Linked DNA regions of Ovis aries. The protein of the gene in region 3 interacts with the protein of the main gene of each other region in a biochemical or structural test. Links are inferred from orthologs where the notes say so. Each region holds a gene or a part of one and is shown on either strand. Other genes may lie near its edges.

Region 1 (3,747 bases), on a different chromosome or scaffold from region 3:
TACAGATCCGGGGCTGGGGCAGCGGTGGCTGCGGAGAGAAAGCGAATTGGGAAAGGCAGGGCTGTGTTGTTTCTGGCCCCTAGTTCTTGGCAAGTTGCGAATCTCTTATCGGCCTAAGAACGTGCTAAGTTGCCTTCTCATCTTGAGGACTAGATAGGAGCAATGCTGGCGGGCTGGGCTTCAGCGATCCCTAAGTACTATTCATGAGCATATTAACAAGCGGGGTCACACACCTCTACCTCCTCACCAAAGCAGCCCGGGGAAACTTCTTAAACTTTAGTAAACATAACGTCGGGTGGCGCCCAGACGGGGAACCCTCTTTAAACATCCATGATCAGATCACTGTCCCGTCCTCACCGGGAACAAGTTGGCTGCAGGATCGATATCGACATCCACCGAAGCCACGGTCCCGGATTCGGTCCGCACACCTGTTCCCATACGCGTGGCCGATTCATCCAATGAGCTGAAGTCTTTTTCGGGTTCTCGCCGCAGTTCGTAGTGCTGTACAAGCTCCGACTGCATTTTTAGTCCCTGGAGTTGGCTGGACTTCCGGCAGATCATCTTGTCGCTCTTTTGTGCTGGGGGTCACCACAGAATCTGTCTTGTCTCGGTTCTGGGACAGCCGGTTCTCAGGCAGCCACTGCCAAGGCCTGGCCCTCTATCGACGCTCCAGCCAATTTGCGATGCAGAGATGCCCGGGGCAGCCAATCCGCTGGCGGCGTCTCCCTGGTCTCAACGGTGACCGTTGCTAAGGGAATTCCTGGAGCCGGGGAAAAGTGTATGGCTCTCTCCAATCAGTGAGAAGAGAGTGCGCGAGCGTAATAAGATGCAAGCCCCGCCCTCATAGCCTCCTTTCAAAGTTGCTAATCTGGGGCAGGCGTTGTCTTTAGGACTGGAAAGTAAACCTGTGTTATCGGTTACCATGGGAACTGTTTACTGGCCAATCCCGGAGAGAAGAGGGTTCGGAAGGAAACCCAAACAGACCCGAGAGGCGGGACAAAACGAGACCAATAGAAACAGGAAATTAAGACTATTTCGCCACATCCGGGACTGCCCCTGGCGCCTGCGCTCTGTGCTGGGGAGGCTAGTGACGTCCGGTGGAGTCCAAGATGGCGCCCGTGGGCTGATCCTGCTGCCGGTGAGGGGCTTAGGGCCGGCGGGGCGGGGACCCTCTGGTAGGTGAGGGGGAGTTGCGTGATTGCGGAGCTCTGGCCGCCTCCACATCTTTGCGCTCTGTCTTCTGCAGGTGATAGGAGTGCAGCCTCCACCTGCCTGACGTCCCTCGGGAGACCCTGCTCCTCTCTTTGCTGCCGCGGCCATGTCTGGACCCGGCAACAAACGCGCCGCTGGGGATGGGGGTTCGGGGCCCCCGGAGAAGAAGTTGAGCCGCGAGGAGAAGACCACCACCACGCTCATAGAGCCCATTCGCCTGGGAGGCATCTCTTCCACGGTTCGTGGGTTCCTGCCTCAAAACTTGCTAGAACTCTCATCTGTTTTCCCTCCACGTCGTCCTGAACTTAACTCCCAATTCCCCAAGCTTAGCAAGATCCACTTTACAGAACACTCTGCTGAAGGAAACCGAGGACACAACGTCAGCCTTCCCTTTACAGATAAGAAAACGGGTTCCCACAGGGCGTGTGGTTTGTCAAAAACTTCAGTAGGAAGAGGCAGAAGCAGAACATGATCCGCCTCACAATCGAGACGCTTTCTCTGTGGGTGACTGAGCTTCGTTAAATCCTAATGGCAGTTCATCTGGGGAAGCTCTCCACTCCTGTCCGTTGCATTTGCTTTTCTTGTCTTTGTGATTGGGTCCTTGGGCCCTGCTTGACCCTCTTCTTGGCCCCTTTATTTCCTTGGTAGGAGGAGATGGACCTCAAGGTTCTGCAGTTCAAGAACAAGAAACTTGCAGAGCGGCTGGAACAGAGACAGGCATGTGAAGACGAACTCCGAGAACGAATTGAGAAGCTGGAGAAGCGGCAGGCCACAGATGACGCCACCCTCCTCATTGTCAATCGCTACTGGGCCCAGGTGGATGCCGCTCTTCTTTCGAAGACCTGGCCTTGATCCAGCTGCCAATCCTCAGACCCCTCTACTAGGAATGGAGAAGGCAATGGCGACCCACTCCAGTACTCTTGCCTGGAAAATCCCATGGGTGGAGGAGCCTGATAGGCTGCAGTCCATGGGGTCGCTAAGAGTCCACACGACTGAGCGACTTCACTTTTACTCTTCACTTTCATGTATTGGAGAAGGACATGGCAACCCACTCCACTGTTCTTGCCTGGAGAATCTCAGGGAGGGAGGAGCCTGGTGGGCTCCCGTCTATGGGGTCGCACAGAGTCGGATACGACTGAAGCGACTTAGCAGCAGCAGCAGCTACTAGGAAAGGACTATCAGGCTGGGAAGCACCTGAGGGATTCATAACATTTTTGGTGCTTTCTCCCTTCAGCTGGATGAAACTGTGGAAGCCCTTCTCCGACACCATGAGAGCCAGGGGGAGCTGTCTTCAGGGACAGAGGCACCTGGGACCCAGGAGGGGCCGACACGTGATGAGACCCCTCTCACAGAGCCAGGGACTTCGGAACTGAGGGGTAGGGCCAGAGCCCTAGGATCTGGGAAGCTTAATTAAGGTCTGGGAAAGGTCCTGGAGAGGAGGGGACTTTGATATTATTAGGCTGCTGAATTCCCTGCCTGCTAACACACACAATTGATTTCATATCTAGGCCACAAAGGGCAGTGGGTAAGAACACAGGCTTTGAAATTTGAGTGATATGGTTAAGAGTGCAATTCACATCTTGACACCTATAGTTCGAAAAAGTATTAAATGTTGACTGTGTATTTGGCATTGTTGTAGATTTGGAGGAGACAAAAATAACCAAAAAGAGATAACTTACTGCCCCAACCATTAGCGAAGGAAGTGATTAAAACCACAAGAAAGAAGTGGGGGGGGGGGGGGGGGGGGGAAGCTGAAAGGGAGTTAGTGTGTGTGCACTTTAGTTTAGATAGGGGAAGGCAGAGAAGGCTTCCCCGAGGAAGTGATGTGGTAGCTCTCTGGCCTTAGGGACATTGCCTCCCTGAACTTCCGTTATTTCACTTTTGAGATGGGGATCACACAGTCCTGCAGGTGTTGGTTGTGTTGCTTTAGTAAGCTGTAGAGTGCTGAAGGGTTCAGTCTGGAACTTGGTACAGAGCAGTGGTGACTGTTGCTGTTGTCCTCACGAGGGTCTGTCCGTCCCTCCCAGAACCCCTGCCAATGCAGTTGCGGCCCCCTCTCAGTGAGCCAGCCTTGGCTTTTGTGGTAGCCCTTGGTGCAAGCAGTAGTGAGGAGGTGGAGCTGCAGCTGCAGGGCCGCATGGAGTTCTCCAAGGCAGCTGTGTCCCGTGTTGTGGAGGCCTCTGACCGCCTGCAGCGCCGGGTGGAAGAACTCTGTCAGCGAGTATACAGCAGAGGTTAGTTCTTTATGCCCCCACCCCCAAGGTGCCCGTGGTATCCCCTCCTCAGTGCTCCTAGCCCAGAGGCAGCCACAGTTCCCCAAGGGATAAATCAGCCACGTTCTCAGGAGAAGGGTTAATCTGTCAGTGGGGGATCTGGCTGTGATTTCTGGAGTTGAGATCTAGAGAGATGGGGGAAGGAGTTCTTGATACTGGGGGAGGGGGTCCTCCTCCCTTAGGGCTGGAGACTTCTTGGGAGCACTTTTCACAAATCTTAGTGGCAGTTACTGATCCATCTAAGGCATAGCATCAAGGGCCC
Region 2 (3,747 bases), on a different chromosome or scaffold from region 3:
ACATGTGGTGGCAGTGGCAAGCCGCAGGGGTCTTCCTGAGCAATATAACCGTGCTGACTTGCTGCTCATGAGATCTCATGTGTGAGGCACACATCAGGCAGCCTATCCATGAGTGCTGAGTTGAGCAGACAGTCTGGGTGATGTGCTGGTCAGTGCTTCATGTTTGGATAACAAGCACTCATACTCACTTGGTGAGAGTATAAATGTATCGGTTCAGCCTTTTCGGAAAGTCATATGGTGCTCGCTATTGTAGTGTCAAAAGAGCACACAAGTTGACTCAGTAGTTCCATTTACAGGAAATTATCCCCAGATATTCTGGCTCAGGTATGCTAAGATTTATATAGATAATGTGTTCATTACAACTGTTTGTAATAATGAAAAACTGGCAACAACTTAAATGGTTGTCAGATGGGCATAGGTAAATAAATTGTGGTACATCTGCATTACGGACTACATAGCTAGCAAAAGGAATGAGGTATATCTATATGTATTAACATGGAGAAATTTCAGGATGTCTGTAGGTAAACAAACAAAAATTCAAGTTGACAGAGGTGTGCATTTAATATAATAACATTTGTGGCAAAAAAACCCACTGTATCTGTGTTTCTGCACAGGAAATATTTGGAAGGCTATGCTCCAAAGGTAAGATGTTAAATTAGGTTAACCATCCTATGTGAGAAAAGAACTCCTATTTTCAGTCCAGAGGCTCTATTTGTAGCCAGGTCAAAGACATTGTGTAACTCAAAGAAACTCTATTCACTTTTTCTGAGCCGAAGTTTTCTCCTGCGTAAACTAATAATGATAATACTCACCTCACAATGTTGTGATGGAGTGAGAAGGGACAGATCTTTATGGCAATCAGAGAGGGCGACCGAAATGAGGAGGCATGAGCCTAGACTTGGAAAGGTTTGACAAGGCCTGGATGCGGTTTGATTCTAGGCTGTCTTTTTCTAAAATTCAACAGGCATTCATTTAGTAAGCGTGTACTACAAAACCCGCCTGCGGGCTTTTTAACCGCATAGGTGCGCACAGAGCCGTTGCGGGAGCCTGGCGCTTGAGCAATAAGAGCAATAAGGGCGGGCTGCGCTCCGCCCACGTACTGCAACTCCCAGCATGCTCTGCAAACGCGTCGGGCGCGTCGCGGACTGATGACGTAGCCCGGTAGCGCGGGGAATTTCGAGTGGCTGAGGAGCGCAGGAGACCAGCGGGTAGCGGACCCCCTCAGTTTCTTTAGAGGAGACCATGGACTCCCTGGTCGAGCCCCGGTGGCCTCCGGCCCTGGCAGTCATGAAGGTGAGTGCCTTGGGGAGGTCGGGGCCGTCTGGGCGACCGCGGGAGGCTAGCCCCACCTTGAGGGGAAAGAACCGGGCGCCAGCGGCCAGCTGGGCCAGGGTACTCTGCCCTGCCCCGCTGCTTGCCATCGCGTGACGCTGGGCCTGTTTCCTCCTCCGGCAAGTGCCGGGAACAGGCCTCGGTCACTGATGGTGAGCCGAGATTGGCCGTCGTGTGGAACGGGATACTCTGCGGTTCAGTCACAACAACAACAATGATCCTGAGAGAAACATTACTCCAAACAGTGGAAACAACAGTGCTCTAATCTAACAACAGAGCTCTAATCTTTTCTTAGAGCTCATGGCGTGTCAAGCATTATGTAAACTCTCCCAGTACTTTAGTGGAGAATCTCCCACAGTGACACCGGACAGAGTTTGGGTGGATCTTGCATCAAGAAACATTTATTTAATCACCTAGCAAAGCAGGTGTCTCCTTTACATTTTCTTTCATTTCTTTCTTTCTTTCTTTTTTTTTTTTTTTTACTTTATTTTACTTTACAATACTGTATTGGTTTTGCCATACATTGACATGAATCAGCCACGGGTGTACATGAGTTCCCAATCCTGAACCCCCCTCCCCCCTCCCACCCCATATCATCTCTCTGGGTCATCCCCGTGCACCAGCCCCAAGCATCCTGTATCCTGTATCGAACATAGACTGGCGATTCGTTTCTTACCTGATAGTATACATGTTTCAGTGCCATTCTCCCAAATCATCCCACCCTCTCCCTCTCCCACAGAGTCTAAAAGTCCGTTCTATACATCTGTGTCTCTTTTGCTGTCTCATTTCTTTTAATTACGCTCAAGAAGCCTAGTGCTAATTTGCGTTAAGTCCTCCCTAACTGTGTTCTAACTCTTAACTCTTGTGCATCACTTTCTCTCTCAAACAAATCTGGATTCTCACTTAGACCAGCCTTTCATTTTATTGAAGTCTTTTACTATTAAATAACATTCATTTTTGCTCCGTGGACAATAGTAGTGAGTCCTGGATTCGTACAGTGTTTGATCGAGAGCGAATACACTGTACTGTACTAGCTAAGAATCAGTTGCCTGGTTTTTCTCCTTGTTCTGTGATTATTTCAGTGTGACTGAGCAGGATCACATTCTCCTGTTGCTCCATTTTGTTAACTAGGAATTATGGTATCTGCCCCACTCACTCATAAGATGAGTTTGAGGATAAAGTGAAGGGACTTAGAAGAGGTTAATATCTGCTGTCCTCAGTATCATCTGAAGTGCCTGGTGACTTGAGATCTCCCCATAGTGAAAAGCTGACATCGTGGAAGGATTTTGGAAAGCTGTGGTTCTGCGTTTGTGGTGGCCTTGGCACCAATGTACAGTGGAGAAGAGCGTATATTGAGTTCCAGTGCTTCTGTGTTAAATTAGTTTCTGCCTCCTATTTAACTGTGTGGCCTTGATTCAGTTACTTAACTTCGCTGAGCCTGAATCTCTTCATCTATAAATTGGAGACAGAAATAGTTCATATAGTTGGTGAAATGAGTTGATGTATGTGGATGGGGATCCTGTTTGGTTTATTCGTGGTGCCTAACACAATGCCTGGCACATTGTGGACGCTCAAAAATTGTTTGCTTATCGACTGAAGGTTTTCTTGTTGTTTAGTCGCTAATTCGTATCTGACTCTTTTGTGACCCCATGAGCTACAGCCAGTCAGGCTCCTCTGTCCATGGGATTTCCCAGGCAAGAATATTGGAGTGGGTTGTTATTTCCTTCTCCAGGGGATTGTCCCAACCCAGGGATCGAGCCTGCGTCTCCTACATTGGCAGGTGAATTCTTTTACCACTGAGCCATCTGGAAAGACCATCTAGAAGGTAGTAAGCATTAAATTAATATATCTTTATTATTATTATCAACACATAATGTGTTATTTCTCCCCCTGCTTTTTATTTGTTGTCATAAAGATTATAAATTGAGTAAGGGAAGTGAAAGCTCTATAACTTGTAAAGCTGCCTGCTTTGTAGATTTAAGCATGTTTTATGTATTCCCACAAAACTTCCACAGTTTCCTTTAGTGGCAGGTTCCATGTCTCTGGGTTGGCTGTCGCACAGCAGCCTGAGTAGGATTCAGTACCAGAGAGTGTTCAGTGGTGTAACTGACTGAGCCCATATTAGAATCATGGAATCTGAAGTTTGGAAAGCCAGCCCTCCCCCACCCCCCACTATTCTAATTCCTTTTACAGTGTGTCCATCCATTTCTCTCCTGGTGTTTGCTTGAACTTCTCCAGGGACAAAGAATTAGCTGTTTCCAGAAGTAGCTCTATTTGGAGTTCTTTCTTATAATGAATAGAAATCAGACCCCAAATCCATAATTCCTAACTGAGGATCCATGGAAAAACTTTGGTGTTTGGAATTACTGGTATATTGTTTTCTGTATGTATTTTTTTTAAAAGAAGAGAATTCAC
Region 3 (3,747 bases):
CTTCTAATTGCTGTCCTGGGACCCGTCTCCAGTGAGTACAGCTCTGATCATGTTGCCTTTCTGCTCAACCAACTTCCAAGGAAGCCATCAGCTTGGCATTCAAAACTCTCCCTGAGTGAACCTAGACCTACTTTTCTCATATTTCCAAAAAATTCTTAAATGAGTATTTTGCCTACCTTCTATGTTATTTGGAGTTGACCTTTTTAAAAAACATTCTTTAAAACTGTTATTGCTTTTGCAGGTCCACATACTAACTGTGACTCTTCCCTGCAACCTACAGCTTTTTCACGTGCATCTTACCGTTCCTTTTACTTCAGACTCACTGCTCTTCCAATTCTCTGCAATCGGATATTCTCATACCCTTGGACTCTTCTGAACATATAGTAGCCACTTGGCTTGTTGAACTGTCAAGGGGAAATGTGGTTCCAGAGCCAAATTGTGAGTGCCCAAAGCTAAAGCCTCATTCTGCTTGCCTCCAGCTCTCATTCCCTCCCCCAGGACACACATCACCATTTCATTCTGCTTTGGGGGTGATCATCGGCCTAAATGTTGGGGCCCGCACATTCATCCCATAGAGAAGGGACCCTCGACCTCACCATCGAGGTCGATTTACTCTTTGGATGTTCAGTGATTTTGACCAGTCACACAGCTTCCTCCCCAGTTTCCCGTGTCCGTAGGAGGTGTACCCCCTAGATTTCTGGCTTTAGGAGAACTGGTTTCGCCTTCATCCACTCTGTCCTCATTGAGATTGAGACTTCATCCTTCTCCCCCTCAGCCACTGTGCGCACTTTAATAAGTGATCTGATCTCAAAAAAAAAAAAAAAAAAGAAGAAGAAGAAAAAGGAAAAGTAGAAAAAAAGCTTCCCACGGTTCGTCTTAGAATTGGCAAGTGAAGGTGGACCGATTCCACCACCCGATCCTATTGAGTTCCCGGCAATTACATGAGGCCCGCAGCTTGCTTCTCACCCTCGCTCCCCCCGTCCCTCAGGGGTTTAATGACCTAAGCAACTTTCCTCCCCCCCCCCACCCCTGTCCCGTCTTGGTACGGTCTGTCCGGCGTTTGGCGTTCCACCCCCGTCGTTTCCTTCCAGGTTGGTTCAGCCCCGGTCTACTCTGGGGTGGTGCTAAGCCGGCGCCAGATCGACCCTCGACTTAGGAGAGGCAGTGCGGTTCCTCTAGGCGGTTCTCCGTTGGTTCCTCCGGCTTCCTCAGCCTCCTCACCACCCGCGGGGACCCGAGAGCTCGGTGTATGCCCCACCCCTGACCCCGCTAGAGACATGTCCACCCCGGCTCGGCGGCGTCTCATGAGGGACTTCAAGAGGTAACCCGCCCGGGACTCTAGGGGCCGGGGGCTGCCGCCGGGGTACAGGGCGGGGCCGGCAGCGGGCCGGGCGGGCGGCGGGTTCAGGATAGCGGGAGGTTCCTGTGGTGTTTCCCTGTAGGTTACAGGAGGATCCTCCTGCCGGAGTCAGCGGGGCTCCGTCCGAGAACAACATCATGGTTTGGAACGCGGTCATTTTTGGGTGAGTCTGCGTTCCGGATGGTGGTGAGGGCCGGGGGACCCGTGTGCCCTCTGGGACCCACCCGGTGCGGAGGCGGGGACTGAGAGAGAAGGTTTGGGGCTCGTTGGGCCTAGGCGCCTCCCCGGAGCCTGTGCCTCGATTAGCTCGGTTCGCGCTGCCAGGGGAACCGTTTGGGGTTCGGAGGGGGGCGGGGCGGGGAGCGGTGGCGCTTCGGCCTGCCTGGGGTTTCTGAGCCCCAAAGCTCTATTGGTCGTGGCTTTGCAACCCGGGAAGCGGTGGTTTACCAGAGGTGGGGCGAACAGATGAACCGGGGAGAGAGGAGCCCCTGATGTGGGAACTGACTTGTTTCTCTCTGTGTTGTAGGCCTGAAGGGACCCCGTTTGAGGATGGTAAGAGAGTTTCTTTACCCACCTTTTGGGACCCTGATCTTCTGGGGAAAGTGTTTCCCAGTCAGCCTGGAAGTGCCTCCTACTTAATAACCCGCTTCTCCCTAGCCTTTGCCTGCTAAAGACTTGAGAGGAGTCCAGTCTGTGGCAGGTTGTTCTGGCTATTGTCCGCTTGACTAGAACTGCTGCTTAAAAAAATCTGAGTAAGGCAGTCACTTTTTAAAAGGAGCATAATACCACTGATGTTAAGGGTTTGTGAGGTTTGGGTTGTGATCTTGCTAAATTCAGGACCACCACCCCCTCCATCAGGATCAACCCAACCACTTGCTGATCAACTCGGAGACCCCAGGGACTGTCTGGTTCAGAATTCTGTCACAAGGGTGGGAACTGTGTTCAGCAGGTGCCTCATGTGTGGTGTTGGATGTTGAATGGATGCAGGAATCCCTTGCACACAACTGTCTGGTTTCTATAATCTGACATTGAGTGCTTTTCAGCCTCACTGCTTTAAAGTGGTCTTTAATGGCACCTTCAATAGCCAGTTCCTTGTTTCTTATTTTTAAATGAGTTTTCAGCGTGTGCTTTTATCAAGACTTTATGATCAGTAATCTCAAGGCAGTTTCACAATTGAGGGGAGCCTTAAAGTACTCTCTTACCAGTGTCCAACCTACTTCAAGATACTACACGTACTTACAGGTACATGATTTTTAGGTTTAGGTTTGACTTTTAAAAACACACTAAGTTGCTTTTTAAGGACTTTTTAAAGCTTCTTGTTTTGATATAATTATAGATTTGTGTGGAATTGTAATAAATAATAATACAGAGAGACCTTGTGTACCCTTCACCTGTTCCCCCCTCTCCCCTGGTAACATCTGGAATGACTGTGCACAACCAGGAAATTGACATAGATATAGTTTTATGTGCACTCAAATGTGTGTGTATGTGTGTGTATAGTTAATTGCTTTTGAAAGCTTAATGCATTTAAAAAGATGATTAAAAGTATTTGAACTACTGATTGACATCTTTAATATTTGAGGTATTTTTAAACAGAAAAGGGTCTTTCTGTTATTTATTTTCTTCTCAATGCCTTATATTCCTTTGGTCATATAGCCTTTGAGAGAAATCTGCACACATATGCACACACATATGCATACACCTCCATTTGAAGGTGGCAACAAAAGCATTTCTACAAACTACTCAGTACAAGCAAAGTTGCCAAGTCAGATTGCCTTTGGATGTTACCAACCACAGCATGTTGTGAGGTAAATGAATACAAACCAATTCTAGGATTCGTCTCAAACACTCAGATTTCCCTAGCAGATTGTAAACAGTAATCTAGGTGGTTTGTTTCTTCTCTGCCTTCACCTCCTGGGTAAATATCACTGTTCTTCAGTGCTTTGATAAAAAGAAATGACAGCAAGGGAGTATGATCCTGAAGGCATACTACTTTGGTGTGTGAGGTAAATCATTTGAACTGATTCTGATCCATAGCAGAAGCTAGCTAGGCTTAGTTTTCCTCCATTAGATCGGTTGCTGGTTCTTCATACTTAAGCTTTATGTGCAGATTAGCTGTGTATTTGCTTTAGCTCCAGCAAAGCAAATTATTTTCATTGGCTTCTTTTTTCCTCCTGATTTTTATTCGGACTGCTTTATGCTGGGCGCAACTTTATTAATAGTACATCGCTTTGCTAGGGGTTGGCAACTTAAATATTTCAAGGGTGCTTCTCTCGCTTTAAGTGGTATGAATTGGAGAAGTACTTATGGAATCCATTATCTACCTGGACCTTCCCCCTTGACATTACTGGTTCTATTTTTGATGATGTGTCTCTCCACCCTGACAT

The links.
Region 1: the proteins of UBE2A (region 3) and RNF40 form a complex in vitro, tested with the Homo sapiens proteins (3 studies listed by BioGRID). The link is inferred for Ovis aries from reciprocal best matches to the Homo sapiens genes UBE2A and RNF40.
Region 2: the proteins of UBE2A (region 3) and RAD18 form a complex in vitro, tested with the Homo sapiens proteins (12 studies listed by BioGRID, with this or other methods). The link is inferred for Ovis aries from reciprocal best matches to the Homo sapiens genes UBE2A and RAD18.

Annotation. Positions count from the first base shown.
Region 1 is NC_056077.1:27,399,433-27,403,179, forward strand, and holds the start of RNF40 (E3 ubiquitin-protein ligase BRE1B), read left to right. Parts: upstream 1-1,086; 5' UTR 1,087-1,138; intron 1,139-1,246; 5' UTR 1,247-1,318; coding exon 1,319-1,450; intron 1,451-1,860; coding exon 1,861-2,028; intron 2,029-2,446; coding exon 2,447-2,588; intron 2,589-3,239; coding exon 3,240-3,446; intron 3,447-3,747. Other genes in the region: CFAP119 (cilia- and flagella-associated protein 119), read right to left, coding at 1-28, 358-561.
Region 2 is NC_056072.1:17,558,144-17,561,890, forward strand, and holds the start of RAD18 (E3 ubiquitin-protein ligase RAD18), read left to right. Parts: upstream 1-1,155; 5' UTR 1,156-1,242; coding exon 1,243-1,293; intron 1,294-3,747. UniProt on the Homo sapiens protein: E3 ubiquitin-protein ligase involved in postreplication repair of UV-damaged DNA. Postreplication repair functions in gap-filling of a daughter strand on replication of damaged DNA.
Region 3 is NC_056080.1:114,920,078-114,923,824, reverse strand, and holds the start of UBE2A (ubiquitin-conjugating enzyme E2 A), read left to right. Parts: upstream 1-1,137; 5' UTR 1,138-1,277; coding exon 1,278-1,321; intron 1,322-1,442; coding exon 1,443-1,523; intron 1,524-1,886; coding exon 1,887-1,912; intron 1,913-3,747. UniProt on the Homo sapiens protein: E2 ubiquitin-conjugating enzyme that accepts ubiquitin from the ubiquitin-activating enzyme E1 and transfers it to a E3 ubiquitin-protein ligase. In vitro catalyzes 'Lys-11', as well as 'Lys-48'-linked polyubiquitination.